4 linked regions of the Alligator mississippiensis genome follow. The protein of the gene in region 3 purifies or fractionates together with the protein of the main gene of each other region. This does not show direct contact. Links are inferred from orthologs where the notes say so. Each region holds a gene or a part of one and is shown on either strand. Other genes may lie near its edges.

Evidence for each region.
Region 1: the proteins of ESR2 (region 3) and UBE3A purify together in Homo sapiens (affinity purification with western blotting; 4 studies listed by BioGRID). This does not show direct contact. The link is inferred for Alligator mississippiensis from reciprocal best matches to the Homo sapiens genes ESR2 and UBE3A.
Region 2: the proteins of ESR2 (region 3) and NUP205 purify together in Homo sapiens (affinity purification with mass spectrometry; 3 studies listed by BioGRID and IntAct, with this or other methods). This does not show direct contact. The link is inferred for Alligator mississippiensis from reciprocal best matches to the Homo sapiens genes ESR2 and NUP205.
Region 4: the proteins of ESR2 (region 3) and COPB2 purify together in Homo sapiens (affinity purification with mass spectrometry; 3 studies listed by BioGRID and IntAct, with this or other methods). This does not show direct contact. The link is inferred for Alligator mississippiensis from reciprocal best matches to the Homo sapiens genes ESR2 and COPB2.

The regions. Positions count from the first base shown.
Region 1 is NC_081824.1:341,771,461-341,778,873, reverse strand, and holds the start of UBE3A (ubiquitin-protein ligase E3A), read right to left. Parts: upstream 3,009-7,413; 5' UTR 2,833-3,008; intron 1-2,832. UniProt on the Homo sapiens protein: E3 ubiquitin-protein ligase which accepts ubiquitin from an E2 ubiquitin-conjugating enzyme in the form of a thioester and transfers it to its substrates.
Region 2 is NC_081827.1:91,530,733-91,538,293, reverse strand, and holds the start of NUP205 (nuclear pore complex protein Nup205), read right to left. Parts: upstream 3,021-7,561; 5' UTR 2,963-3,020; coding exon 2,935-2,962; intron 1-2,934. UniProt on the Homo sapiens protein: Plays a role in the nuclear pore complex (NPC) assembly and/or maintenance. May anchor NUP62 and other nucleoporins, but not NUP153 and TPR, to the NPC.
Region 3 is NC_081825.1:291,561,614-291,569,231, reverse strand, and holds the start of ESR2 (estrogen receptor beta), read right to left. Parts: upstream 3,017-7,618; 5' UTR 2,794-3,016; intron 1-2,793.
Region 4 is NC_081830.1:45,473,520-45,480,359, forward strand, and holds the start of COPB2 (coatomer subunit beta'), read right to left. Parts: upstream 3,002-6,840; 5' UTR 2,895-3,001; coding exon 2,892-2,894; intron 380-2,891; coding exon 242-379; intron 1-241. UniProt on the Homo sapiens protein: The coatomer is a cytosolic protein complex that binds to dilysine motifs and reversibly associates with Golgi non-clathrin-coated vesicles, which further mediate biosynthetic protein transport from the ER, via the Golgi up to the trans Golgi network.

The sequences.
Region 1 (7,413 bases), on a different chromosome or scaffold from region 3:
GACTGGTGGTAGTTAAGGAGGAAAAAAAAAGTGGAAAATAGCTTAGCTTAGTGTAAACAAATATACTAAGGGTTTTGCAAGAGCAGCAGGATTACACTTTTTAACTTTTATGTAGTGACCATTTTTTTTTTTGAGAGTTGCACTGAAAAGCTTCTGAAAATCAACCCAGCTACTATCACTTTTGAAAGTTTGCATGCTAAAAATTTCACACATTTAAAATTAGGGAACCTCTTCCCAGGCCAGTAATTTTTGTAAGAAGTTCCAGTCCAACATGACATGAAAAGGCCCATTAATAATCTGAAAATAGAAATTATAATAGGTACAGGACTACTACAGAAAGACTATGTTTGTACCTATCCTACTTATTAATTTGCTAAAACCCATAAGAACTGCCAACTGTTTACAAGTATCACCAACAAGTCATTTAGCAACCACAGCTGTATGCAGAGTGAGTTTTAAACCTACAGTTGTGTATGTGATATAAAGGACAGCAAGATACCAGAGACACAATGTTGCAATGCATAAGGACCTGAATCCAGACTATGGCATTTAGTCCCAAAAAGGTAAAGACAGTTGGAGACCACTTCTTTTTCCCCATGTATTACACATCTCATTTCTTTGACTTAGCTTTCCTTCAATAACTTTCTCCAAGGTATACAAAAATGCACTTCCTCCCCACAGAAAGCCAAAAATAAAATACAGTAATCAAATCAAATTATTATTATTTTTTTGCAGGCTAGGAAGGAAGAAAGACTGAATTTTTTAACTATATGAGAGGCACTGAAATAATACAGTAATGGGGAATGAGAGAATCTTTCTAGATACAGACTTAACTCCAATATGAAAACATTGCATTAACTACTGTGATTATCACTGCTTCAAGACTGGTTTGTATTGGAACTGCTCACCATATTCAATGTTAATGTGTTGGTTTTTTTCCATAACAACTAGTCAAAACGTGTAGATTTAGACAATGTGATATTAGGAGGAAGTGAGTCATGTTCACGTTAGAATACAAAATGTATATGTTTAGTTTAGTAGATGAATACAGTTACTGTTCATAACAAGTGCCAAACTCGATTTCGCAGTGTTATGCAGAGCCAGAAACTTTGCATCCTTAAAGTTTTTTCCCAGGGCTAACTGCATTTGCAGCACACAACATTCTCCTAAATGACTTGCCTACTGTTTGTTTGTTTTTTTGAGTGGTGTATAACACTCAACTACAACACCACAAGGTTTTCAACCGCAGAACTGACTTTTTGGTAGAAACAAGAGGCTCAATGCCCTGTACCAAACAGGGCCTTGATCTGATAACCGGATTCTTGTGACACCTTATGCCTTCTTTGAAACCCAGCCTAAGAAAACCAATAAGACTCTGTACAGAAACAGAGGTCTGCTTTGCAAGGATGAGCTCGCAGGAATGAACCACATTCCTTGCCTTAGAGCAGCCCAGAGCCCCAAAGCAACAAGCACCAGAAAACAGCACAGTGTGGCCAACCTTAAGGCTACGAGTTTGATCAGTGGCATTTGTAGTTATACATCCAAAGTCAGGAGCATTTAATAGTGTAAAGGTTTGCACTGTTCCACCACTGGCTTCACATCCCCTGGTGCCACTGGAGAATAGCCACAAGCCTCCAGCCTGCAAAAAGTCAGGCCATAAGTTTGGACAGTGAGGAGCATCACCCAAAAAAGGCAGTCTCCAAAACATATGGTGAAGTAAACCATGACAGCTTATGCTCTCTATATATCTTATTTAATTAGTTTATAAAGGTGTGGTCCTACCCTGCCTTCTTTGACTTCAGATCAAGCCATGAAAGCTTATGCTTGCTCCTGCGGATTCACCTGTGCTCTCTTCATGTGTGTCTCTACATATGTATTGTATTTAATTAGTCTATAGAGGTGTGGGTCTACCTTGCCTTCTGGCTGACTTCAGACCAAGCCATGAAAGCTTATGCTCACTTGTGTTTGCTTGCACTCACTCGCACTCATGCGCTCACTCTCATCTTTCTCTCTTTATCTTATATAATTATAAAGGTGCAGGTCTACCCTGCCTTCTGGCCGACTTCAGAACGAGCTCTGAAAGCTTATACTTGCTTGTTCACCTATGATGTTTCTCTCTCTCTCTATATATGTATCTTATTTAATTAGTCTATAAAGGGGAGGGTCTACCCTGACTTCGGGCTGACTCTAACCAAGCTACGAAAGCTTATCCTTGCTCATGCTCACCAGCTTGCGCTCTGTCTTCCTTTCTATGCATCTTATTTGATTAGTCTATAAAGACGCAGGTCTACCTTGACTTCAGACCAACCTACAAAAGCTTAGGCTTGCGCCTGCTCTCTCCATCTCTGCCTCTCTCTCTCTCTCACTATGCATCTTATTTGATTAGTCTATAAAGAGGCGGGTCTACCCTGCCTCTGCCTCCCTGCTGGAGGGGGGGGAACTCCCTCTGTCCAGAACCAACCCAGAAACCTGCAGCTGAAGCCAGCACCTGCCTGAAGCGCCACAGGGGCCACGCGCACCACGTACAGCCCTTCCCGCCGCAACGACCACGCGCAGGCACAAATACACACACGTATATGTGCGCGCACACACACCCCAGCAGCCGGGCCCGGGCAGTGCACACCGGGCCGAGCGCCTGGCCCCTTGGTCCAGGGCCCCACTTCGCTCTCTGGCCCTGTCAGGGGGAAACTGAGTCACGGCCGCGCTCGGTTCACCCAAGGTCACGCGGAAGCCCGTGGCCCCCCCCCCCTCCGGCCCCCGCCCAGCCCCGCGCAATAGAGGCCTCCCCTGCCCAGTCTCCCCCGGCCCCCCAGCCCCGGCCCCGGCGCGGACCTGAGCGCTGCGGCCTGCTCCCCGGCGCCGCCTCCGGCCGGGCCGGCCGGGCCGGGCGTGGGCGCGCTGCGGTGCGGGGGCTGGGCCCTGCGGGCGCCGCTGTGTCAGCCCGAGCCCGCGCCCGGCGCCACCATCTTGGGAGCAAACGCGGAGATCGGCGCGGCGCAGCCCCGGAGGACTCGCGGGGCTGAGCGAGCTGTCCCGGCGTGCCTCGCAAGCGCGGCGCTCTACCCTGCTCTCCTTCCTGGCTACCTTCCCTCCCTCGCCTGGCTACCTTTCCCCTTCCCCTCTCCTCTCCTCCCGCTCCGAACCATAGAGTCCTCTCGTGCCGCGGCCTCTCCCTCTCGCGAGAGGCTCTAGCGGGAGGGCGGCGATGCGAGCGCGGCCATGTTGGGAGAGGGCAGCAGCCTGGCGCCCCGCCCCGTGGAACCACAGTCGCCCCAGCCCCAGCGGGCAGGGGATTGGCGGGGCGCGCGCGGCCGCGCTGGCGGGAGCGCTCGGGGCCGCGCGCGGGGTGGCGGCCTGCGGGCCTACAGACGCGCCCGCGTGTGTGACTGGTGTGTGTGTGTGTGTGTATAGACCATGTGCGCATGCATAGGCGTGCAGGTATGCAGAAATGTGGGGGTATGTATATATATGTACACATGCATGTATATATGTCTGTATGGACACAAGTGGATATACACTTGCATACATGTGCACGTACATATGCACACATGTATACATGCGTATATGCAGGTATGCGTATGGGTGTACATCCCTGTGTCTCTACATATGCATGCATTTATACATCCATGCGTGCATATGCATGTATGTATATACCTGTGTGTACAATGTAAATGTGTGTGCGTATGTATACACATATTTACATGATATACATTATACATACATATACTATATATATCGTGTGTATCTATATACATATGTGTATATACAGCGTTCATATACAGGGGAGCTCAGGAGTGGGGGTTAACCCCCGCCCCAAGAGGTGAGAGCCCCCCATAGGATTTGAAAATCATAACCTGCGGTGGGGACTCTGATTTTATTAGGACATTGTGATGGCCAGCCCAATTTTTTTTTGCAGACCCCCCACAAGACTCAAAGTATAATTCAAACCCTGTGTGTATGTATACACATAGGTATATGTATAGAGCACAAACCTTTGTGGGCTGAAGCTCACTTGTTCCTTCTAGGGCTAGGGTGTCAAACTCATCCGGCCCCAGGGGCTGGATAAGTGGTGTATGGTCTGATGGGACCCACAAACGAGCCCCGCATGCTGGATCCACCATGTGTTTTGGAGCAAATGCAGTGGGTCCCATGTGCAGCTCGGTTCTGCTCTGGCTGCTCTGGGACTGCTGCGTGTGGTGGACGCTCTGGGGCTAAGCAGCACAGCCCCGGGGCTACACTGCACGTGGCACACCCTGCATGCTGCCTGTGGCTCAACTTTGAGACCCACAGGCAGCACCAGCGGCCAGATGATAGGGCTCCAATGGACTGTATTTTTGACACTCATGTTCTAACATAATGTGTAGTAAGTAACTCCAGTGCTGAGTGAAGGGGAAGCTTTGCACTCACACCGTCAGCTTCTCCACAATCGTAATCTTGTTTAAACCACAGTCATAATGGAGTCCAGGCTTCTTCACACAGGAATATAAAACAGATCCTATCTGCACAGGGCACACATATTTATTGAATTTCTGCTTTTGGTATTTCTACTAAATATCTCCCATTTAAGACCAGCTGTGGGGTGTGCTCTTTCTTATCCCCATAGAAGCAGCAGTGGCATTACCCTCAGAAAGCTATAAGGTTGTTTCTCTATGTAGATACTTTAAATACCCTTTGTAAATCTAATATAATTTTCATAGGACATAAACTCTTAGGGTTGAAATGTACCTCAAATGTTGTCTAGCCCAAATGCCTGCATGAATGCAGGAATGCATGTTGTGAAGGAATTTATTTCTAAGCACCTAGAGGACAAGGTGACTGGGAAAAGCCCATGTGGATTTGTCCAGAGCAAGTCATGTTTGACCAACCTGAACTTATTCTAAGATAAGGAGACAGGTGTTGTGGATGCAGAGGGATGTCAGTGGATGTGATATACTTCAGGTTTAGTAAGGCTTTCAATACCATCTCTGGTGATGTTCTCATTAATAAGCTAAGGAAATACAGTTTAGGTCAGTGGTGTCAAACTTACCCTGTACCCCAGGCTGGATCTGGATTATGGGGTTTCTTATGGGTTGGATCTGGACCTGGCGGTGAGACAAGCAGCAGAGGTTACTGTGGTGGTGTGGCAAGTGACGGTGGTTAAGGGGCCATATGGCCGTGGGGTGAACAGGACTGTGTCACCCCTTCGGTCACTCTCTTCTGCTGCCAGCCACATCCAACAGATCTGTAGCCCCAGGTTCTTCAGCAGTACTCCCTGCTAGCCCCATCCCAAAATTTCCTGACTTGCCAGGAGCCCCCAGGCCAGATAGATCAGCTTTGCAGGCTGGGCTATACATTTGTCACCCTAGTTTTAAATGTAACTGCTGTAAGGCAGACACATCACAGGTTGGATCAAAGTGCTCAAAACGTATTTATCAGTGTCTGGGCGTCTAATTTCAAGTAGGTATCAAGTGGGGTTCCTTAAAGGTCTGCCCTGGGTCTAGGTACTGTTTCATTAATATCCTCATTAATAGTTTAGAGCAGGGGTGTCAAACATACAGCCCATGGGGCTGTGTAATCAGAACAGTAAGGCTTCTAGTGGGGCTGGGAATTTGGGGGCAGGACCTGCTGCTGAAATCTGGAGTACGGAGCCCCATTGGATAAATGTGTTGGTGGTAGGGCAAATGGCTTCTGCATTTAGCTGTGTAGTTCCCTTGTGCTACCTACCCCTGAGAAACCCCATGGTCTGGATCTGGCCTTGGGAGCTAGGTATATTTGACCCCCTAATTTAGAGCATGGGATTGAGTGCAAATATTAAATTTGCAGATGATATCACATTGAGTGGAGTTGCAGACACTTTGGAGAATAGGATCAGGATTCAGAATGACCATGGTAAACTGGAAAAATAATGAAGAAAATATGATGATAATTCCAAAATTCATGGACTAAAACTCAATAAGGACAAGCATGAAATACTGCATTTAAAATGGAACCATCAAACACAAAAACATAAATTGCTGTAGATAAAGACCTGGGGGGTCATGGTGGACCACAAGCTGAATCTGAGCCAAGTATGCTCTTGCTGCAAAAAACCAACCAAACAAACAAACCCCAAAACAAACAACAACAAAACCCCCCCAAAAAACCATAACCCCCAAAATAACAGGAGTATTATCTGTAATTCAAGTGGAGTGATTGTTTCACTCTCTTCAGCAGAGGCAAGGACTTACCTGGAATGCTGTGCTCAGTTTTGGGCACCACACTTCAAGAAAGACAGAGAAATTGGAAATAGTCCAGTGAAGAGCTGTAAAAATTATTAGCAGTCTAAGAAACATGATTTACAAGAGAAAGCTAAATGAACTAAGTGTGTTCATTCTGAAGAAGAGAAAAGTGAGTGGAAACATTGTAGCAGTTCTCAAATACCACACTGATGGTGCTGGCCCAGTGGAACTCAACATTTTAGGGTGGTGGGCTAGGTGCTTGTGACTGCTGCATCATGGGCCACCACAGGAAGGAGAGTTGGTGCAGGGGAGTGGCTGCCAGCATCAGAGGGAGGGAAGGAGAGAGGAAGGGAGCACCTGCCATAGTGAAGGGGAGAGGGAGAGAGCAGGGAAGTCTATGGAGGGGTCAGTAGCAGGATTCAGACATGGAAGGAGACATGCTGAATTGAGCTGCTTGCTGTTAATTTCCCATGCCATGGGCTGGATCTAGTCACTTTGGCCGTGAGTAGACGAAACAAGGGGCGTGTGTTCATGACACTTTAAAGCAAGCTAAATGCTTTTGCACTGCTTTAATGGTGTCAGTGTTTGCACGCCTCGTTTACGTATTGCGCATTAATTCCAGACGCTGTAGGAAATTCGGCGGTGTAACACGACTTAAATGACTTGGGGTGCAGCAAACAAACTCCTTCAAGGACTTTTAGTTTGCTGCCCCTATAGCTGCAGAGCAAAGCACCAGACTCCGTGCAGCTCCACAGCTCTGCAGGAAGCCCTGCAGGCAGCCTGGTAGCAGCCTGGGAAAGCAGGCTGTGCCCAAGAAAAGCAGTGAGCATGATCTTTTTTTCCACCCCCCTGGAGCCTGCCTGCCTGAGCTGTGAGGGGGCCCGGTGCTTCCCTCTGCAGCTGTGGTGCCCCCTGGGACCGCCCAAGCCAGATGCCTGTGGGCAGGTGCAGCCTGGGGCGGGGGCTGCTGTTGTCATGGAGGGAAGCACCAGCCCCCTCCCCTGCTCAGCCCAGGGACTGCTCCACCTGCTGGCAGCTCATCTTCCCCTCCCCGACGGAGATGCAGGTAAGTCAGCGGGGTGTGTGCACAACACAGGGGTTTAATCAGCCCTAAATTGAAGCGGTGTTTTTTAAAACCCACCACTTCTATTTAGGGCCCCCGTTTCATCTACACATGCCCTTTGGGGACAGGATCTGACCTACAGGCCATAGACTA
Region 2 (7,561 bases), on a different chromosome or scaffold from region 3:
AATAGAGATCATTTGTTCCCAAAGATCCCAATTCAACTGCAGGACAAAAATAAGCCCTGAACCAACTCTGAAACACTGACATGGTCACCCAGGCCTTCTTGTTAGACTTCCAAATGACTGGCAGACTGCTTTTAAGATACCCTTTGAGAGCCCTGGAGTTTTCTGAGTGGTATACAAGCAATGGTTTCAATTTAAAATCCGCTGTAGCATTACCATCAAGCAATAAAGTAAGTCGATCCTTGGACACCCTGAAACCTGGAATCAACTTCTCCTCTCTGGAAATGTAGGTCCTAGAAGGCATCCTCTCCCAGAAGAGGCCTGTCTCATCAGAATTGAAGACTTGTTGAGGCATATAAACCCCCTCCTCAATAATTTGCACAAGCTTATTTCTACAGCTGGAAGCTGCTTGGGTGTCAGCACTAACAGCCTCCCCCTGAATAGAACCATTATGCAAGTTGCTGTGCCTCTTAAATCTTTCGGATCACCCCTTACTTGCATAAAAAGGCTCAGAAGCAGACCCCTTGGGCAAATTTTTCTGTAAATTATCATGCAGACTCTTAGCCTTCTTCTGAATAAGCAGCATACTCAAGGGCATATGGCGTTGAGTCGTATCCTCAATCCACACACTTAACAGCTTCTCCATTTCTAACATAATTGGAGCCCTACGCATACTGGGTTTCAAAGCATTCAAAGGAGTTACAAATCTATCACATTCTTTTATTTTGTCTTAAATTTTCAACAGCTGACCCAGACAAATTCAACGCTCTACAGACCTCATTCTGGCATTTCCCTGCTTCAATTTGCTTCAGGACATCCAATTTAAGCTCCAGCATTATGCATTTGCACTGTTTTTTCTCAGCACTTGCATTCTCAGAGTCAGCTGCACGTCTCTGACTCATGGCACAACTCAAAAAACAAAGCAAGATGGTGACACAAGCACAAAAGAGCAAGAAAGAGCACAGAGCACAAAAGTTTTTGACAAAGCAAGATGGCAACGAGGCTGTGCACCGCTGACACTCCCTGCCCGATACATGAGTATTATAGCAAAACCCATGAACGCTAAGTGAAACCGGGCATCAAAGTGAAATGAGCACTATAGCGAAATAGCGTTAAAGAGAGGTTGCCTGTATACTTTAACTTTAATTACTAATACACCCTCACTGCACAACAGCCCCACATTTTCCATCATGATTTTCTTTTTAATTATGTGGCTGAAGAACCTTTTCCTATTGGTTGGAATTTCCTTTACAAGCTCTAACTCAGTAACTCAGTGTGACTTCTAGAACTTCTCACTTTATTGCTATATCTCCTAACCTCTAAGACTGACATCACTTAAGTAGCAAAACCAAGTACAAAGAACATTCATGCAGCATTTCCAGTCTTCCATACTACCCCATACAGTTTACATACCGTATGTATGTATGTATGTATGTACATTGTTCTATAGAATAGAGACCTGACATAAAGGAGACTAAACAATTCTCATTCTCTCAACAGAACTCAATTGAGACAAATTTCTGACATCTGATGTTCTCTCACTTACATATAAACCAGGAGTGGCAGTCACAGAGGGGATGAATTACTACATATTAGCAACAAACAAATTTAAAGCTTCAGGCAAGAGCTGCTGCATCCAGCTCTGTGGTCTGTGTCAAGGCAATTTTAACTTCTTAGCAACCGAGGCCTGCACAAACAGGGGCCACATACTGAGGGAGCTGCAAGCTCACCCCACACCATGTGAGTAGGCAGCTCTTTTCACCACTACTTTACTGCACATGTGGGCTGCCTCTCCCCACTGATCCACGTGCTCATCTATTTGGCCACGGGCTCCCTTGGCACTTCAGCCTGCATTGCACTTAGCCATGCTGTTCTTTTCCCATCTCTGAGGCAGGGGCAGGAGGTAGAAGCCAAAGAAGGGAGGGAGCCTGAAGACCCTGGCTCTTGCTGCTGCTGTCCAAAGACCAGCGTAGTAGTGGCCAAGGGGAGTCCATGAGCAGCAGATTAACTTCTTGTAGACTGCACACGGCCCATGAGCCACCAGTTGGATAACCCTCCTCTGTGCCGCTCAAGACTACATCGGGGTTATCAAGCATACCCCCAGGGGTACTTGAAAAGGGGCCAGGAGGTACGCATGGGTGAGCAGGAGTGGAGCACCGCCACACACCACCCCGCACCACCACCTCCCAGGAGCAGGGCCAGGGGTGGGGGTAGTGGCTCCCTTCTGCAGGCCACACAGGCACTGCCCAGACAGACAGATGGATGCAGTGGGGAGGAACTCACACATGGCAGCTGCCACCACCATCCACCACCCACACGGTGTGTAGCCCCCCCCATATCCAGCCACCACCAGCCAGAAGTGTACCTAGAAGGAGTACACTCCTTAAAGAAGGTTGAAAACCTCTGGACTAGATCACATGTGCCTATGCCATGGCTTGCAAGCCACAAAAGATTCCTGGAGAATGTAATGTGAATCCTCAAGAAAAAGAAGCAGCTAAATAAAAACCTTTTCTTTTTCTTCTGTGTCTGTTTATTACATCCTACATGTGATTTGCTTCAAAAAAAAGATAACGATGCATTATTACAGAGCTGGGCGGCAAGCCAGTCATCGACTCCAGACAGTCAGCATAAAAAACGTTGATGTGCCTGCCTGCAGCGCTCGGCTACGGCTAGAAAGGCTGGGAAGTTTGGTCCTGCCTGGACTGGATAACAGCATCGCCCGACAGCTTCACGGAGCCAACACACCACGCACCCGGCACTTAGCTATCTGGACGTTTGGTCACGCCGCCTACAGGCCCCGCTCTCCTGCCGCCGCCGCCAGGAGCCCACGCGGCCCCGCTCCGCGCGCACGAAACGGGAGGGGGGGGGGCAGCACGCGCGGGGCAGGGGCCACACACGCCGCCACTCCGCACCTCGGCTTTTTTTTTTTTTTTTTACCTGAATTTACCGCCAACGGCGCCGCCATCTTGGAAACCGACTCCCGCGACCCGCCGCAGAGAGGCCCAGAAATAGCGCGGGGCGTCCGTCGGAGTGCCTGATTAAAAAGCCCCACCTTTTGCCCCCAGTGCAGGGTGTAAAAGCGGGACGCAGTTGCCCTCATACACTACTGTGCCACTCGCAGAGAAATTTACAACACTCTTCGTTACTCAGCATCCCGAGACGCTTTCAGACAGGCAGGGGTGCCCTCGAATTCTTGGGCTCCTCAGGGCCCGAGCGCGGGAGATGCTGGGAGTTGTAGTTCATGCCTGGACTGCAGAGATGCCTAAACCCACGGGCTAGAATCCCCACGTGCCACCGGGCGCCTCAACCGAGGGTAGGCTGAAAGGGTGAACGGGAAGCTGGTTCCCTGCGGGAGCCCAGGCACTACCCATTGGGCCACGTGTTTTAGCGGTCCCGCTCCCAGAGTGGCTTGATCCGTGTGACAATGAGGCACCATGGACACATCAGTCAGCATCATTAATCACATCTCCTATTCTGGCCATTGACAACGGTAGTTATGCATTTCCAAAAACCACTGGAATAGAAACCAGACATTAAAAACAAAAACTGCTGCAAATAAATTGATTTTGTGGCTTATTGAGTCACATGTTTTGGTAAAAGATGTGATTGTAATTTGTAACTGCTCGTAGGGGTGCAGGTTGTAGCTGCGTTGGTCTAAGGACATAGACAGACACATTCTTTGGGTAAATCCGGTATCTTTTATTAGAGTTTTATTAGATAAATATATTGGATTTACCCAAAGCACCTTGTCTGCCTGTGGAATTGCTTGCGTGCTTTTTTGGTGGTGGCATGTTTTTCAGGTCAATGCTTTCTTTGCATTAACGTGCCTCAAACTTGTTAATAAAATGCTTTTTCAGGTGATAAAGAACTAACAAAATTAAACACAGGTATAAATGTCTACAGGATCAGGGCCACAGGTAGAACATTTTTTTTCTGTATTTTATCAGTCTCATATATTTAAAATAACATATCAATTTATTCCTGTTAACTTTAATTCCCTCCCTCCCTTTTTCCAGATCTTAATGATAAACATGTCTGTTTTTATGCCTCCCTCCTAGAGAAAATTTGTGAAAGGTTTTTCCATAAGGGTGTGTGCATTCATGTCACTAGCACCTAAAGTTAGTTGAAAACATTGGGGGGGGGGGAGGGTCATTGTAAAAGCATAAATCGTTTTTTGTCAGTTTTCAAAACCCAAAAGATTTCAATCTGTATAGTTTCTCATTGAAAAACTGGAAAATTTTAATAGACAACAAATTTCAAAACATTTTGATGAAAAATGGCCTTTCAGTTTTCTAAAATACAAATTAAATTCAAATGTAAATTAATTTTGTTTTTGAAAAAAACCAATGTTTTGAACCATCTCTACTAGCAAGTGTACTGGATTAGGAATCCATGTCTTGTGTCCTTTTTATGATAAACTTGGGTTTACACTCCAGTATACAACAAAGGCTTGCCTCAACTTGGGGCAAAGAACACTGAAATTGTGGAAAAATAATTTCTCAAAAGAAAGTTGAAAGAACTGTTAGGAGTGAAGAAGAAAGGACAAAACAGCCATTTGGTTATACAGCTAGAGCTACAGAATAAGCATTAATACCTGACAAGACTCCCTTGTCTGCAAGTAGCATGCTGGCCTCATGCTTTTAAATAATCTCTTTCTTAAGGCCCCACTAGCCATTCTAATAATTGCAGATTTGCTTTGGCAATTTCCATCTTGTGTTACCATAGAGATAGAAGATGACACTAAAAGATGTTTTCATTTGAGTGGCCAGTAGTTTTCACACTGAACTTTATTAAAATTATTACTTCTCTGGCTACAAAACAACGTTCAATAAACTACATTCATGGGAAAGAGACAGCAGATAGACTCAAGAAGAAAAGAGGCAGAGATAATGGGATGGGAAAGGAAATAAAAAAGGCTACGCAGAGAAAATAGGGACCCTAGAATAAAGATCAACAGCCCACAGCATGCATGCCGGATCAGGCCCACCAAGTAAACAGATTTGGTCTGCGAATCCTGGACACATCTGCAGCGATTCGGCAGTGGGAGGATGTCTGCCGCAATTGTTGGGGAGGTCAGCTCTGCAGCAGGGACCAGTATTGCTGGCCGGGGGAAGCCACCACAGCATTGTGGTGATGGAAGAAGCGGAGGCAGTGGCAGCAGCCAGGTGCATTAAAGCAGCCTGCTCTGCTGCTCCAAAAGATTGCTGATGCCTGCTCTGGAAGATGGCTGAATAGGGAAAGACAACTAAGGAAAAAAGACCAAAACCAAAATAAAACCCCAGAAAGACAAAATACAATAGCCAATGTAGAAGAAGAGATGTACAGAAAGGAAATGGGGGGTGGGGGAGGGACATCCTAGCAGAACATTTCCTCTTATAGGGTTTAGAGGATGTACATTTGAGAAATGGAATCTTCTTTTTTGTTGCCCACTCCTCTTGTTGAACTAATTTGTCCTTCCAAATCTCCAAATCTTTTTCCAAATCTTTTCTGAATCAATTTGGCAGCTCTGAATCAATTCAGAGGGTTTTTTTGGTCTTCCAATTCTATTTGGATTCGGTGATTTGGCCTCTGAATTGGGCCAAATCTTCTCCAACTCGAATCAGCGACCAAAACTTCACACACCCTTAGTAGGCAACCCCCGGCACATGTGCCAGAGTGTGGCACATGAAAGCATTTTGCTTGGCATGCACACCTCAGGGTTGACAGTAGGGAAGGGCCCGGGGCTGTGCTGCCACAACAAAGATCAGGGCCCTCATGGCTTCCCTGCTGTCTGTCCCTGGAATTCCAACATCTTACAGACAAGGTTGTGGGTGTTTTGGGCATGCTGTTCAAAAACGCATCTGACCCCTGATCTAGCAAATGAATGCACATGCCAATAAAGTTGAATTTGGTTTTGCTTTGATCTTAAACTGAATAATGTATCTCTGGGCTCCTAGCATATTAGCAAATCTTCTAATTTCTCTTTAACTGGAGAAAAATATTGATGCACCACACCATCTGCGCCCCTCTTTTCAAAATCAGAGATCTACTCATGTATGAAACCTGTGGTGGCACAGTAGGGGGCACTACTACTCAGAGCCACCTGCCTCACTGTGCCAGGCCCAAAAACCTCACTTGGGAGTCTCCCACAGGGTGCCTACAGCCAGCTGTCCCACTTCCTGGAGAACACCCGCAACTCTGGGGTAACGCTGCCACCACCCAGGTACTGGTTTCTGTTAGAGCTCTGTGGAGCCCAGGGCACACAGATCCTGTGAACCGTGTGGTTGCTTTGCCCACAGGTAATATTTCTGGGTGCCTGTTTTGGCCCAAAGCATCCCAAGATAACCTCAGGTAGGACTGAGGGAACATAAACAGACAACCTCCACTGGCTAAGCTGAAAGCAAAAAGGTCTGCCTCTCTCCCCTTCATTGTACCATAGCAAAGCACACTGTAACCTGTTACCTTCATTGATCAGGGCGGGAGCAGGGGTAGAACAAGGAAGTCAGAATACACTTTGAGTAAACATAAGCAATCAGAGTCTTATACAGCCTTGGACATAATAATCCTTTTAAAACATGCCTAGCCAAGACATAAATCCTAACTCCTGGCTAGTTTCTAAGTCTTTACTTACAGAAAATCATCCAGGCAGCAGCCTGGAGGTATATTGTCTGTTGCTTTCAAAAATGCCTGGCACCAGGAAGGGAGCATACCCCACTCCCCTCAGGAATTTATCCAGCCAGGTCACCTGGTTGACCAGCCTGAACAAAAACGAAAGCGAGAGAGAGAGGGGGGGGGGGGGGGGTCCACCTAGAATAACCAAAGTGATGAAGAAAGAAAGGAGGATTTCTTCACGGACTCATCCCAGGATAGTTCTGTTCTGGTACAAAAAACAGGTCTAACTAGTCCTAGGATAACATCTGCTCCTAGCTCAAGATAGCTATTTTAATATTATAAAAGCCTAAGTCTGTCCGACTGCCTGTCTGTCTGTCCATAACACTTTATTTACGCTTTGATTGGCTGACAAACAGCCAATCAGAGCACAAAGAAGTGTTTTGACAGAAGGCAGCCTGCCGCCATGATAGTGGGGATATAGGAGACGGCCTTGCTCCCCCTCCACCCTGCTCCCTGGAGGCAGCAGCAACAGAACGGGCCCGACACAGAGGGGAGGAGCAGAAGCACCATGGCATCAGCGGTGGCAGTGGGGCCAGGGGAGGACTGGGCCTGGGCCTCACGCGGGGCGGTAGGGAGCAAGCTCAAGTCGGGGGAAAAGCCAGCCCACCACAGCAGTGTGGGGGGGAACAGCAGGCCCGGCCCGGCCCAGCCCAGCCCAGCCCAACATGGCAGCTGCAGGGGAAGGGGAGAACGAGCCTCCTCTCCCCGTCGGACCCGGGTCCACTCCTCCCCCAGCCTCACTCCCCCGCATCTGCCCCAAGCCCACTCCTCCCATCGCCCTGCTGCTGTCAGGTTGGCCTGGGCCCGCTGCTCCATTGCCTCCCTCCACCGCCACGGCCTGGCTTCTCCCCACCCTTGGGCCCAGTCCTCCCCACATCGGGCCTGGACCCCAGGCAGCAGGAGGAAAGGGGGA
Region 3 (7,618 bases):
ATTTGCTGTTGACTCATGGGACTAGGAGTTCCCCATTTCTTCCCTATATATTACTTCTGGTTTGCTAAAATACAAAACCAAAAGGTATAATATTAAAACTCACTGGCCGCATCTAGATGTGCAGGGGCATGTGCTTCCAAGGGTACAAATAGCAGCAGCACACATTTGTGCCGCTACTTGGTGCCACAGCTCACACCCCTGCACATGTGCTTTGGTGAGGGACAATTGTCCTGCTTCAGACAAACTGCCTTTCCCTGCTCCCGCCATGCTGGAGCACAAACAAAATAGCAGAGATGCTCTGGCCAACAGCCAGAGTGTCTCCCTGGAGGACCAAGCCTCTGTTTGTTGCTTTTTTTCCTTTAGTGGTTTTTTTGCTACCAGGAAAACGTGGTAGCAAATTTTGCCGCCATGCTGCAGATTTGCAGCGCAGGGCACGTCTTAATGGTCTGGGCGTGTGGTTTGTGGTGCCACAAAGAGGTTTGCAATGCTACAAACCACACATGCCTGCATGTCTGGACGTAGCCACTGTCTCAACAGATTGAGTCAATGAGTTATTCTGGGAACTGTCTTCTTTTTTGGCCCTGATATTTTTCTTTCCTTGGGGACTAGATTGGCACACCCTTCTCTGGATACTTCCTCCTGATAGCAGAAGCAAGCTGCTCACAGGCATGAAAGTGTATGGAGGAAGATGAGTGTGGGAAAATGAGTTTTCATATCACCTTCTTCCTCTGAAATCATTATCCCTTTCTCTTAGCTGTCCATTTTACTCATATGTGTTTGAGTGGGGAAGAGAAGGGCATTCAAGAACCAGCATTAAAAACTGCATTAACCAAAGAAACCAAAATTTAAGCTGTTGCATGTGTGTGTGCATATTGTTTCTCTTAAAGAAGCCTGAAGCAAAAATAGCTTTCCAATAGTTTCATATTTTTATACTTCATCCACTCATTGTCACCTAAATACACCTATAAGGGCTGATATTTGCATCTGGAAATCCTGCCACCCAAACAACCGAAATGCCTTAGGGTTATTCTGTTGAAGACTTCAACTATTTCTTCACTTCAGCTTTAAAAGTATGAAAATATTGGGAAATCAAAGGATCTAACAGAAGCATAATATTTTAAACGTATCTTCTCTAACTTCTCTGAATTTCAAGATCAGCTTCAAATCCCACACTGGGTAGCATTTTTTACTGCTATCACTACCTCTTCTCCTCTTTCCTTTTTGCTATTCCCTCCCCCCTGCTCCTCCTTTCCCTTTGGAAAAAATCTATAAGGAAGGAATCTATTATTGTCTGGGCGCATGTAATTTTGTTATGCTAAGTATGCCAATGCTAGCTCTGTTCCTTACTCTGAAAAGAACGGGGAAAATCCGGTTTCAATCTTACATAGACATTTTGTGTATGATTGGAAAGAGACTGAATAGACCATCTATCTTTGCTAAGTTAGTGTATATAAATAACATTAACTAGATACAGTTCACAGGAACTTTTGTTAAAACCTGAAAAGTAGTTACTGACCATTGTGTGCTGGGAATCGGAAATGTAAAAGATACCAGTTAAAAGATACTATCCTCCCACATTATTCTTTTTCCTCCAAGAGATATCTGTGGTTGCAAAAATAATTTCAGGGGTGTGAAAAGAAATAAGATTGCTACTTATACCCAGCAATTCAGATTCTGAGGCTGTATCGCTTAATATTACAAAGATTGCTTCTCTGGGTGCTGTCAATCCTACCAAAACTTTTTTTACTTAGATGAACAGCTATATTCTTTATGTGCTGTTTTCAGGGGTTTTATGTTATTAGTTTTATGAAACAGCGATGTCTGTATCAGACTCGACTGCAATTCTATATGCATTTTATTTTTTCCAAACTTTAAGTCTTATTAAATGGGTCTAATAATAAGATTAGATGATTCCACTGTTTTTTTAGGCAGATTACCTAATTAATTTCTATGAAGATCTCTGCTTACCAATGATGGCTTCATACAGTTGCATATTAATATTAATTCAGAATAAATGTATTATCTTAATTTTAGCATTATATTTCCAGTTATAACACCAGGACCTTAGAATTTTTTAAAGGACCCTTAACAAACAAGGCTTGCCCTCTCTTGTCTACTTGGGAAAGCTTTTTCCAATATCAAAGACATTTAATTATATTTTAAAAAATGAAGCAGACACCTGGCAGTGAAATCTTAGCCACTGAACAACAGAAATGGGAAATCACTTAGGCAAATAGAGTAGCTGAAAGAACAAAGATTGAAAAAGGAGGCTCCTAACATCTTTTGGAGCTTCAACGCACCACAGTGCAGGAAGGGTCCAATCCAAAAGCCACTTATGTCAAAGATTCCTGTTTAATCCATTGGATCAGACCCTTCCACATTAGCAAATGGCTTTTACAATGCGTTATCGTAAAGAAACTCTCAAGTCATTTGTTTTCCTAGAATTTGCATGCAAATATTCACCTCTGCTTCACTCCAGCAGTGCCATGTTAATAAACTTTTGTTAAAAACATCTTAAGAAAAAGAATCAAGATTCTATAGTCCAGAGTCCTGGAAATGGTACGAGAAACCAAAGAATTTTTGGAGGGATAAACCTGTTTAGGGATTATTTTTATCTGCACAAGCCAACACACATTGATCATACTTTAGAAACCATAATTTGTAAAAGGATAAGCCTCTTAAACCATAAATTAAATGAGATCACAGCACAGAAGTATTTTACTGTTGATATACCTAGTGGCTATCAGTTTTTACAACATTTAACAAATATATGTAACCCAATTCACCACATACCTGATTGATATCGAATAGTTTTCTGCTCTTCGGGTTTATCTCACAGCATTAAATGCCAGCTAGCATTTCACCCATCATTTCTGGATTAGTTTCCCTTTCTTCTGTTTCGCAGCCATTCTAAAATCACCATCACTCACACCACAGGGCAGAGGATCTGAAATACTGATCTTGATAAAGCAGCGCAATGCCAGCTCATCAGTACAAGATTACACAGACACTCTCAATGTTTCCTTTCCCAGTGGAGGCAAGACCTAAATCTAAGTTCCTCCCCTTTCCTTCTGACAACAAATTCATAAGCTTGTTGTTCCCTGCAATTAGAGCTCCTACAGAACTGAAGTAGTTTTATAAGCCAAGTATTGTCATAGGGCGCCTGTACACAATGTTGGCTTTTTCTAGCTAAAGATATTCCCTGGGTTTATTTCACTCTTGCAGCGTACCACAATGATTCCCATTACTATTTTGCACGTAACACGTTTAACACTCAGTCAGACCAAAGTCATTCAAATAATCAATTAACCAGCAACAGTGGATGAGGTTTTAAAAGCTAAATTAACTTTTCTCCCCCCATAAAGTGTGAATGGAGAATCTCAATATAACCAGTCTGGTTTGAACTTGAACTTTTAATCACTTCAAACACTTGTGGTCATCTATTTACAAGCTTCATTAAAAGCATATCCTGCAATATTCTCTAATCTTGAACGTGCATTCATATTAGCAATGTTTAACAGCATGTCTTTTCAAATCGAGAAAGAAATTAACTGGACACCGTGTAATAGGTGACTCAATTGCTCCACGAACTCACTAGCTCTTATTTTTTAAAGCATTTTGAAAAACACTAATCACAGTGCAAATCTCAGTTATGCACTACAACCACACTTCTGTCCGTAAAAAAATCTTCTAAGCAAAGTGATATAAAGCAGCCCTTGGGGACAAGTTTCAAAGGTACTTAGCCACCTACAGATAGCGTGTAGTCTATAGGTACCAAGTGGAATTTTTCAGATTCCTGAACAAGTTACATGCCTAACTCCCATCCAAAACAATAAGTGTCCACACAGCTTACTGAAAAGATTTCAAAAATCCTACAAGCCACCTATCTGCATTTTCAGGAACCTAAATACCTTTACAAATCTGAACCTTGGAATAAATGATGCTCAGGCCATCACAAAGCTGCTTTGGTCTTTGCTCATCATCACTAATTCTATTCACTTTACTACAAAAAGTAAAGCAATCCAACTAGAAAAGTCCATCACAGCTCACATGTCCTTTAATTAAGAGTGGAACTAAACTCCATTAGCCCATGATGGCACAGGGAAATGCAATCTGTGGAAGAAGCATTGCCTTTAGGATGCTGTTTGTTGGGGATGTGGGGGTACGGGAAAGGTTCAAGAAGTTTTATAAGCCCTTTCCTGCAGAGATTACTCTGACCTGCCAAATCCCTGTCCTTCCTCCCCAGGTTTCACATGGCGATGGCAACTTATTAGTACCTCAGGGTTTTTGTTTTTTAGTTGAACCCTGCATAGACTTCAGGTGGATTTGGGACCATGACACACTAGAAGCTAAAAGACTTTTTAGATTAAGCACAGGTTTGGGGGTTTTTTTGCTTATGCTATATATTAAAGTGACAGTACTGGAAAACCTAAAGAGTGGGCACGAAAACCAAATTGCTTCTGCAGAGTATTGTGCAGTAAGTTGCAGATTCTCCAAATTCAATTTTCCAATTCCTGTCCCATTGCATGTTTGTGTGTCCTGGCTCAGTCAAGATCAGCATTGGAGCCTAACTGATATGTCTGTACATTCAAAGCATATTACTTAGTTCTATGTTTTAGACCAAGTTTTCTCTCCATACCATTAAAGCCTGCTGGTAAAATTGGAAAAATATGCCAAGTAGTCTCGACATCTGTTGTCAGCACTGATGATGAATGCACCTGTTGACAATGATTTAACTGCAGGAGTGGAAAGGGCCAAACCAAGGGACTTGTATCACCACTCGGTTAATGCTCCAAATGTGTTTTTCCTGTACCAATCTTTCAGATTCTCCAAAATGTATTTCAGGCCTGTTAGGGGGTCGAAGCACCGCACCTCCTCCTGCTTTGGGGAGTGTCGACACTACTCCTCACTGTTAAAAGACACCTGCAAGACCCTACCCCAAACTGCATGTTTGCAGCAATGAAGTGGGATCACAAGCCCCACAAAAAAAAGAAGGAAAATGAGTTAAATATGTTAGGCTCAAACCAGCAGTGGGTTTGCCAGAGAAAATGAATAAGAAGTTAAGAACTACTGCTACCCCAGCTTCCTGAGGGAGAGCGCCTCACGTCACCCCGGATTTCTGAGAAGGATTCCCTGCCGGCTTTCGGAGGTAGACGAGGGCAGGTTGGCCTCTCTAAGATATGAGTCATGACTGTGCATCTGTAAACAGTATGAATTGATTCCCCTCACCCAACTCCTCCACAGCATGCAGGAGACAGGTGCCTGTGTCCAATGCAACAGCAGCTCTCCACCGCCCAGCCTGGCTCATGCTGCCACCCAGTGTTGTCTGCACAGGCTGGACCCATCTCTCCTCCTGCAAGTGCAGACTTCTTTCTTGATCCAGGAAGGGCTGGGTGCCTGGGCCACTGGTCTTGTTCATTCGCTCTGAACAAGCCCTTGGCTCACTCACAAACCAATGCACCTGCGAAGCTGAAGAGTCAAATTCCAACTACCTGTGAGAGGCTTTTTGCTCACTGGCCACAGACTGTCACTTTTGGAAGTCAGGCTCTACTTACCACGTTCCCAACCTCAGGGGAACAGGAGAAGAAAGGGCACCGATTTGCTTTCACACCACAGAGCTTCATATTGTCAAGCAGTCCCATGTTGAGACACAGCATCCCCACTCTTGGTGCATTTCCTCCGGACTTGGAAGTAGCAGAGCCTTTGGGATCAGGAGGGCACAGCCTGGGTACGGGATCAGGAGGCCACAGCGTGGGTACGGGATCAGGAGGCCACAGCGTGGGTACGGGATCAGGAGGCCATAGCATGGGTACAGGATCAGAAGGGCACGGCCTGGGTGTGGGATCAGGAGGCCACAGCATGGGTACGGGATCAGGAGGGCACAGCCTGGGTGTGGGAACAGGAGGCCACAGCGTGGATATGGCTGACTGGGGCAACTCGCATTTAAATTCCTCAAGGAGGCCAGGAGAACATTTTTCAAGCTGCTTGGCCAGGGCATTGGGTAGGTTTATACTAGAGCAGGGGTTCCCAAACTGTGGTATGGGTACCCCTGAGGGTACACAAATCATCTCTGGGGGGCACGCAGGAGAAATTGTGTAATGGTGAGTTTAATTTTTATTATAATAATAATTGGCATTTAAGGGGTTAAAGTATTCTGGTAAGGATATGTGGGCAGCTGGTAAATCTGGGAGGGGGTATGCGATAAGAAAAATAGGATTACTATGTCTGAGTTTTCCCAGACATGTCCTCTTTTTGAGTCCTCCCATCTCTGTCCAGGCAGGTTTTTCAAATCTGAGCAAATGTCTGGGTTTTTGCTTTGGTCCGCTGGTGGGAGCAAGGGGAGGGATGACTTTAGGCAGGGAGCTGCAGACAAATAAGTCTGGGTTGGGGGCTGGGGCAGGGTAGGAGGGTCGGGGGGGGGTTTGCCTGCCTCCAGCAGAGGGGGAAGGGGATGGGGGGGTGCCTTTTGAGGGCCATAGCCAGGCTGGCAGCACAGGTGCTGGTGCCTATGTTTGCAGGGGCAAAACGGCCTGAAGACGCTGTGGGGGGAAGGGGAGCGGGAGGTGGGCTGTATGCTGTCGCTGGGCCTCCTGGCTCAGCGTGGCAGCCCCAGCCCGGGGTGGAGGCTGTCACAGGACTCCCTTTCTCTGCCGTACAGCCTGCACTGGGGCTGGATTTGCTCTGAGCCACCACGCTCTGGCCTGGTCAGGACAGGGGCAGCTGGGGCCCCTCTGGCAGGGCTGGGGGGGAGCAGGGGACTGTGGGTCAGGAGTGAGGGGAACCAGCGGGCAGAGTACCGTGTGGTTTGGGAGTGAGGGGCACTGGCAGAGCTGGGGTATGTGGGTCAGGAGTGAGGGACAGCACAGGACTGGGGGAGGGTGGCTTGGAAGCAAAGGGCAACAAAATAGGCAGAGGCAGGGCACTGCTGTATCCCTGCCTGCCTCCCCCCACCCCCACCATGCAACAGGTGTCCTCTTTTTTAGATCTGAAAATATAGTAACCCTAAGAAAACGTTTGGGAACCACTGTACTAGAGGGAACCTGGAAGGAGCCACTCAGCGGCACTGCTTGAGCACGGGGGCTGTTTACCCCCCGGGCTAGGTTCACCTTCAGTCCCTGCTCCTCCACGCCAGCCAGCTGACACAGCCCAGCCACCGGAGGGATGCAGAAGCCTCTGCTCACAGACCCGCCCCCCACTCAGAGGCTAAACACCAGTGCACCCTCCTGCATGCACTCGGCTTCTGGCTGGTGTCCAGCACCTCTCTTTCACTGCAACCATCTAGCAAAACAGACTCAAAAGGAGGGATGAGTGTAGCCTGCAACTGCTGGGCTCATAAACAGCAGAAACTAAAACCTGATCTCCTGAGGGAGAAGGCCAACCTGCCCTTGTCTACACCACTGTCCAGTGCAAGCCTTCAGGTTTTTACTTGAATCAAAGAGAGCAGAGGGTCCTCAAAGACAGGGCCTTAAGGCTGCTCTGGCCTCCGTGGTAAGACCAATTGACACAGCCACCTGCCCTTTGGCTTGTCTGATTCACCCAGAAAGCACTGCAGGCCCTGTTAAAAAACACTAGTGTCCAAGCATTCAATAGTAAAACATGTGCTAAGTGCCGTTGTAGT
Region 4 (6,840 bases), on a different chromosome or scaffold from region 3:
TACCTCTAGTTTCTATGCCCTTTTCCATCCAGCAAGATAAAGATAGTTAACAGGCCCTTTGTAAAGAGAGCAATATTTTTTTAAGATAAAAAAGCAATGAATCCTTTATTAATAAATTAAATTTCCTCACATCTGTTACAGTGGAATGTATTTCATTCATCACTGTAAGCAGCATATGGGTATCAAAGCATTATTATATATTAACATTGCTCAAATAAAAAGTGGAAAACAGAAATTTTACCTGTGTTTCATGATTCCAAACACAGACGCTTCCATTGTAAAGACTAGCTAACATCCATGGCTCTGTGGGATGCAAGTCTACACTCTTCACTCGGTCAGACCGAGCTGTTAGTTTTCGCTTAATATCAAGTCGGAGAGGCTATAAAATTAAGAACCCTAGGTTATTCAGTGTAAAACTGGCACTGAAAATCTTAACATATTTGTAACCCAACCAAATAAATGACAGGCCAAAAATATACCTATCTGATTCTGCTTTTCCAGGTATATACACATTATGGCTTTTCTCTTATCTTCTTGCTCTGATAAGAGATGTTTTGAAACATACAGGCACTGATTTTGAATGCAACACTACCACTGACCTCAGTGAGTCCCAAAGGAGCGCAAAGGATGTGTATTTCTCCTCTCACCTACTTGAACAATAACATTAAAAAAACAAAACCATGCATAACCTCATAATACTCTGCCCCATGTAGCCTTAAGCCCCAGAGTGGGTAAAATATGGCCCATGGGCCAGACCTAGCCTGCCAACTGATTCTATCCAATGCAGGTCATGGTGTGTAAAACCAATCCTGCTGTCCCCGGATGCAGAGATCCTATCTGGTGCAAAGCACAGCCCACCCTATCCCTACGCGCAGCTCTTGGGTATTCCAGGAGCTGTAGTCTGCAGGGCTGGGCAAGGGTGGCATGGCTGACACCAGCTTCCTGACAGACCCAGCAGCACTGGTTTCTTCTGGTTGCCACTGCCAGCATTTGCCACCAGAACTGGCCCTGCTGCCCAGGCACCCCAGCCTGCCTGCCCTGCACCTATTGCCAGGGGCACCAGATGGAGCAGGCGGATGGGCAGGGTCTCCATGGAGACCAGCCCAGGACCCCACAGGCAGGCACTCTCAGCCAGGCGGGTGGGATGGCGCCATGATTGGGCAGGGAGCAGCGTGCCAGTCACCCAGGAGAACCTGCTCACCTGGCACTCCTGCTGGAGGGTGTGGGACAAACAGGCCTGGGGTTGGATAGGACCAACTGGCATCTCCATGCCTCTCTCCTTCCTCCCCTGGCATGCAGGGTGGTATAAACAGCCATGATGGGACAGGTTGAGGCCAGTTCAACACTTCCTCCCCACAACCCCCCAGCCCTCAACAGCTCATCAAAGCTCCTTAAGTGTCCAGCCCAAATAATTACCCAGCCCTGCTTAAACTTCTACTGGCTGGCTAAATAAACGCTTCCAAGACAAAAAAGTCAGTAGATCTTAATATCTTTTCCTCTCTTGGGGCTTCTGCTGAGAACTCAAGGGAGAATGTCAGTTACCACAAAATATGGCAATTGTGTATGATGCAAAAACACTTGTCCATTATCAGCTGCCAAGCCAGATGAAACAAAACTGATCTTGACCTCTTTATTTAGGAGTGTTGGCAATCTGAAACTAAGTTACCTGACATTTTATGGGTATGCTATACCAAGGTATTTTTTTCCCTGGAGCATCTAGTATATGCCACAGAATGGAATATTCTAAAAAGAGCAAACTTAATTCTCAATAGTACATACAAAATGGGTTGACCTAGAATTGCTTGATTTAACAAGTTCTCTGGTGAAAGATTATCCTCCCAAATGGGTGAAATAATGCAATGTAAGCATTTGACTAGCTTCAAACTGAAAAGCAAAATGAGAACACTAAAGCTGGCATTAGCAAATATTAGACTTATTATATTTCTGAAATCCGGTAAACATTATTTCTTTCCTTTTAAAATATAAGTAGCTGACACACAGTTATAGCATATATAACCTGAAGACTCTCTCAGATACACACAGAACTTGTAACTCAGTGAGCTGGCTGAAGGCTTTTAATTTTTCACTTTCAACTCCCAGCCTGTAGGCCAAATCTGGCCCCTGGCATCATGTTACCTGGCCTGTGGAGCTCCCCAAGGCTGACAATTTAGCAGCCAGAGAGCAAAGGTGCGGCACCCCTGCTGTCAAATTTCCAGACCTGCGAGCCAGATATCAGAGCCCTGTGCAGTGCGGGGCCGAATTCCAGTGTGCACGGTGTGGCACACCAGGGCCCAATCCCACTGCACAGGGCTGGGCGGGGGCAGCGCAAGGCCCCAGGGTCCCCCCTGGCATGCAGGCCCTGATCCTAGCATGCAAGACCAGTGAACACTGCACCACAATCCCAGCACGGGGCTGGCAGAGGAAGCGTAGGGCCTGAGCCTGGCGCACGGAGCCCAATCCAGCCTGTGAGGTCAAAAAATTGAGCACAGTTGTCTTAAAACACAGTGGAAGAGACGGCTGTGCACATTTACTGCTTGAAGGTTTTGGGGACGCCTGTATTAGTGCCATCACGGCCCCAAATGACTCATCCTGGGAAAGCAGCTTCTGGTTGAGATGGTCTCGCAGCTGCCAGCTACTGGGTGACAGGGGCAGCCACTGGACAGCTGCCAGGGACTTGTGTGCTGCTGTCGCGGCCCCCAGGTCCCCGTCAGGGCAGCACCAGCAAGCGCAGCCCGTGCAGGGAGTCAGGGAGCCTCCTCGGGCGGGGAACGACGCAGCAGGCCAGGGTTGGCAAGAGGGCGCTCGTCGGCCCCCGGCCCCTTTACAAGCGTCAGCCTGTGCAGCACGGAGCGAGAGCCCCCCAACCCACTCCCGGCCCGGCCTGGCCTCACCATGGCTCCGGGGACGCCGCGGGGACGCCAAGGTGTTGCTCCCTGCTCCCGACACAGCGACGTGGAGCTTCCGCCACCTCTGCTCTCGCGAGACGCGAGAGACCGCCGAGAACATCGGACTTAGCCGCTCCCGGCCCCAAAGGCCGCGAGATCGAGGCGCGCCGGGAGCGAGGCACGACGGGGAGCACCGGCCGTTCGTGCCGCAAGGCGCTGTGCCACCGCGGGGGCTGCTGGGACTTGTAGTTCCCAGGGCTGCCGGCAGGTAGCTCAGGGTCGCGGGGGTCCTGGCGTACGTTATTTTGGGCGGCTCCGGACGCGCTCCCACGGCCGCGCCTGAGCGAGATTCCAGTGCACATCAGGCGGCTCGCAGCTCTGCTGCTCCTGCCGGGCAGGTTGGTCTCCGCTCCGCCTGACCCAGCTCAGGCCTAGCGTGCGCCTGCGCCTCACAGACTCGCCTAAGTTGCAGTCCTCCAGCGTCCCAGGTTGCAGTGTCCTCCCCCGCGCCCCTGTGTGGACAAACTTCCTACCGCAGAGCTCTGCTGCCCGGGGGCGGTCCTGGCACCAGCCCGCTCCCTCGCCGGCCCCGTGCGCTGGGGCTGCCTCCCACCGCCCGGCCACCCTGGAAAGCACGACCAACAAATCCCCGTTTATTAAAACATGGGACCTTCTTTAATTTACTTCTTCATTTCTTTTTAAATTCCTTCCTTTTTAACTTTTTATGTTATCCTTCAGCGACTGACTTGAGTCATTTCGCCACCCTTCCCTCACCCATTTCCTGTCCACCTCCCAGCTTCATATCCCATCCTGCCCTCACCCCCAAGCAGGGATACAAGCCTGTCCTGGCTCACCAGCCCCATAAAGCAGGACTTCCCAACCCCTGGGCTGTGGCGGTGTAGGGCCGCGAACGGTTGGCTGCCTGTCCACAGGAGGGCCAGCCCATCCTATCCTGTGGTGGTGGCTGCCACAGTTGAGGTTTGGTTCCTCCCGCCCGCCCGCCAGGTGGAAGTGTCTTGACTGCTGTTCCAGCCACAGGGCCCCACGCGGTGTCACCGGAAGTGACCGTGAACCAGCAAACTGTGGACTGGAAGTGACTGGCATACGGCGGACCAGTAGCCAACCCTTTTTTATACTGAGTATAAAAAACGTTGTCTGCTAGTTCGTGGTTTCCAAGTCAGTAGCCACTTCTGGTCTGCGGTTTCAGTCTTCAATCTAAAAAGGTTGGGAGCCCCTTCGTAGAGGCAACTTGCAGCTATAGCACCTAGTTAGACCCCTGCTTGCCAGCCCTCTAGTGGCAAGTCACAGCACTGCCGCTGGGGATGTCAGAGAAGGTTTTTAATGTGACCGCTCCAAACACAAGCTAGCATTAACACTGATCAACATTTGTGTGGCTTATGGTGTAAGGTGTAACAAGGCCCTAATCCCGGTTGACATTTGAGCAGATCAAAGTGAAATGTGTAACAAGACCCTTGATCATGGTTGTATCGAGGGTGTAACAAGATCATGTGTAATGAGACCCTCGATCAAGACCTTCATCATAGACAAGCTATAGAGACCATGATCTGAGCACACCCTAAACTCTGGGACTTTGCAGCCAATTTCATGATACCTGGAGTCTGACTCATGCATCTTAAACAGTTGAGGCTATTATTATTGTAGGGCTTTGGGGCAGGTGGAAGGAGAGAAGAGCCAGCAAAAAAAAAGATCGGGGTGGTGAAAGCAGGAGTTTTAAAAAACATGGGGAGAAGAGAAGTTATAGTGGAGGGTCAGGAACAGACATTACACATAAACTGGTTTAAATGATCAGAAACTGGTTTAAACCTGTAACAGAACAGACACTCAATGCACATAAACGAGTTTGAAAATGGCTGAAACTGGTTTGAGATAAACCTGGTTGAATGTAGTACCAGAATTAATTTATTTAGGCATTGGTGATGTGTAGGGGGTGCACATGCATCCCCTGATATTAGCGATGCACCCCTTGAGACTGGCCGGTGTCGGTGGTGCCTGCGGGCAGTCGCCACTTACTACCCTCCCCCCTCGCCACCAACACCACCAGCGGTGTCTGTGGGTGGTCGTCAACCACTTGTCAGTGCTCACCACCCCATGCCCCGCTGCCAACATTGCTGCAGCCACCTGCAGGAGGTCCCTGTTCACTGCTGCCACACCCCTGCTGCAGCTCTGGGCGGGGCTCTCTGCTCCAGAGCAGGGCTGGCCTCTCCCCTCTACTCCGTGGCTGGAGCTCCAGCAGAAACAACAGGCACAGCTGCCTGGCTTCCCTGTGCCCCTTCCTCCCACCACCACTCCCTGCTCAAGCAGGGATTCCCCCCTCCTCTCTCCCACAGCACGGACCATAACCAGCATGGGGTCAGCTAGGTAATGCTGAGAGGTGTCTGTGTAAGGCAGATAGGACAAAGGCGAACAGGACAGAGTCCACTTAGGGCTTTCTGGAGCTAATTAACAGGTCAGCAGGTACTCCATTCCTTCCTTGGAAAAAGTTGTTTAAGAAGAGCTTCAACTGATGAGAGAAGCTTTTGTTTTCTTGTTGGGCTGATAAATGCTGTGTAACTCCCTGCTGACTCCCTTGCTTGTCAGGAGCAGCAAGGTGGGGAGGGGAAGAACTCCTCCCTCCAGCTCTCCCAAATTAGAGCATCCTGCCAGGGAAGGGAAGGGAGGGATGCTGTAGCCCCACCCAACTTGAGCCACTGTAGGCATGCGCCTGCATTTTTTCAGTCCAGAAGGGATGTCTTTCCCGTTACTAACTGGTTAAGTCTAGCCAAGTTAGCCTGACCTGAAAAGATTGAATCCATTCAGGCTCAAGCTTTTTGAATGCTTTTCCTTAGCTGAGGAGTTCTTTTTCCTACAGCAAGTCCTGTCCAAAGAAGGGAGAAGATTTAAAAAGAAGTCTAAAGCAAGTTTCAAAGCAGCTGCTGATAGTGCACATGGGTTCAGTAGGGGAAGGTGAGAGAAGGATGTTTAACAAAGAAGAAAACAGCTGAAGGAGGAAGGAAGGAATTTGCAGTGGCATGAAATCAGCCTAGTTTGTGAATTCCTGCCAGAGACCCTTAATGTTTTAAAACCAAAAGCACAGAAAATTAATATAAGGGATGAACAAGTTCTGAGAACTAAGAAGGAAGACCTTGAGCGACTGACAAAGGATTTGAGAAATGTTAATATACAAACTATTCGCCTATTATTTGTTACAGGTATTTCTCACATTAAAAACGAACAGGCATGTCAAAAAGCACAATGTGAAACTGGCTGTTGTTTTAAAATTTTCGATTGCACACTTGGTCTTCACAAATTAGTTCCCGTACAGTATTAAACTAGCTGGAACATATTTACTGTTGCAGACTATATTTCCCTTATATGGCAGCTCCTCTTGAAAAGTCACCAGACTAACTGAGACACCCCATTATACATTGGTTATACTTAAACCAAAAAGAAGAAAAAGAAAAAAACAGTGATTTTACATAACTGATTGGCTGATGTGCACTGCAGGCTGCAGTAATTTATTTTTGATACTTCAACTAATTTTTTAAAGGCATAAAAGTGTAATAAAATTGCTCCATAATAAAGTATGCAAAATCCTGCCATTATTAAAATATGTTATAATTTACTGGATGCACTGAAGTAAAGCATAACTTACAAAATGAGGTTATAAGTTCAAGAGTAGTTAGTAGAAAACAATGATAGAGTGTTTCATCAGACTGGTTTTTTAAATCAGACTTTAATATAACCTTTTAATATAACCGGTCTGTTAGAACTTCTTTTTCCAAGATTTCAGCTTCAATCCTAGTGCTAATGATTAGAACTTTAGGAGTAACACTATTGCCAAGTTTTGGATTTGAATGATAATAGGGGAATAAAATTGCCTCTCAGCTGGATGGGACACTGTTTTTTGTTTATTCATTCATTCATTTTCCAGTTGTACAAGTTTAAGATGGCATAA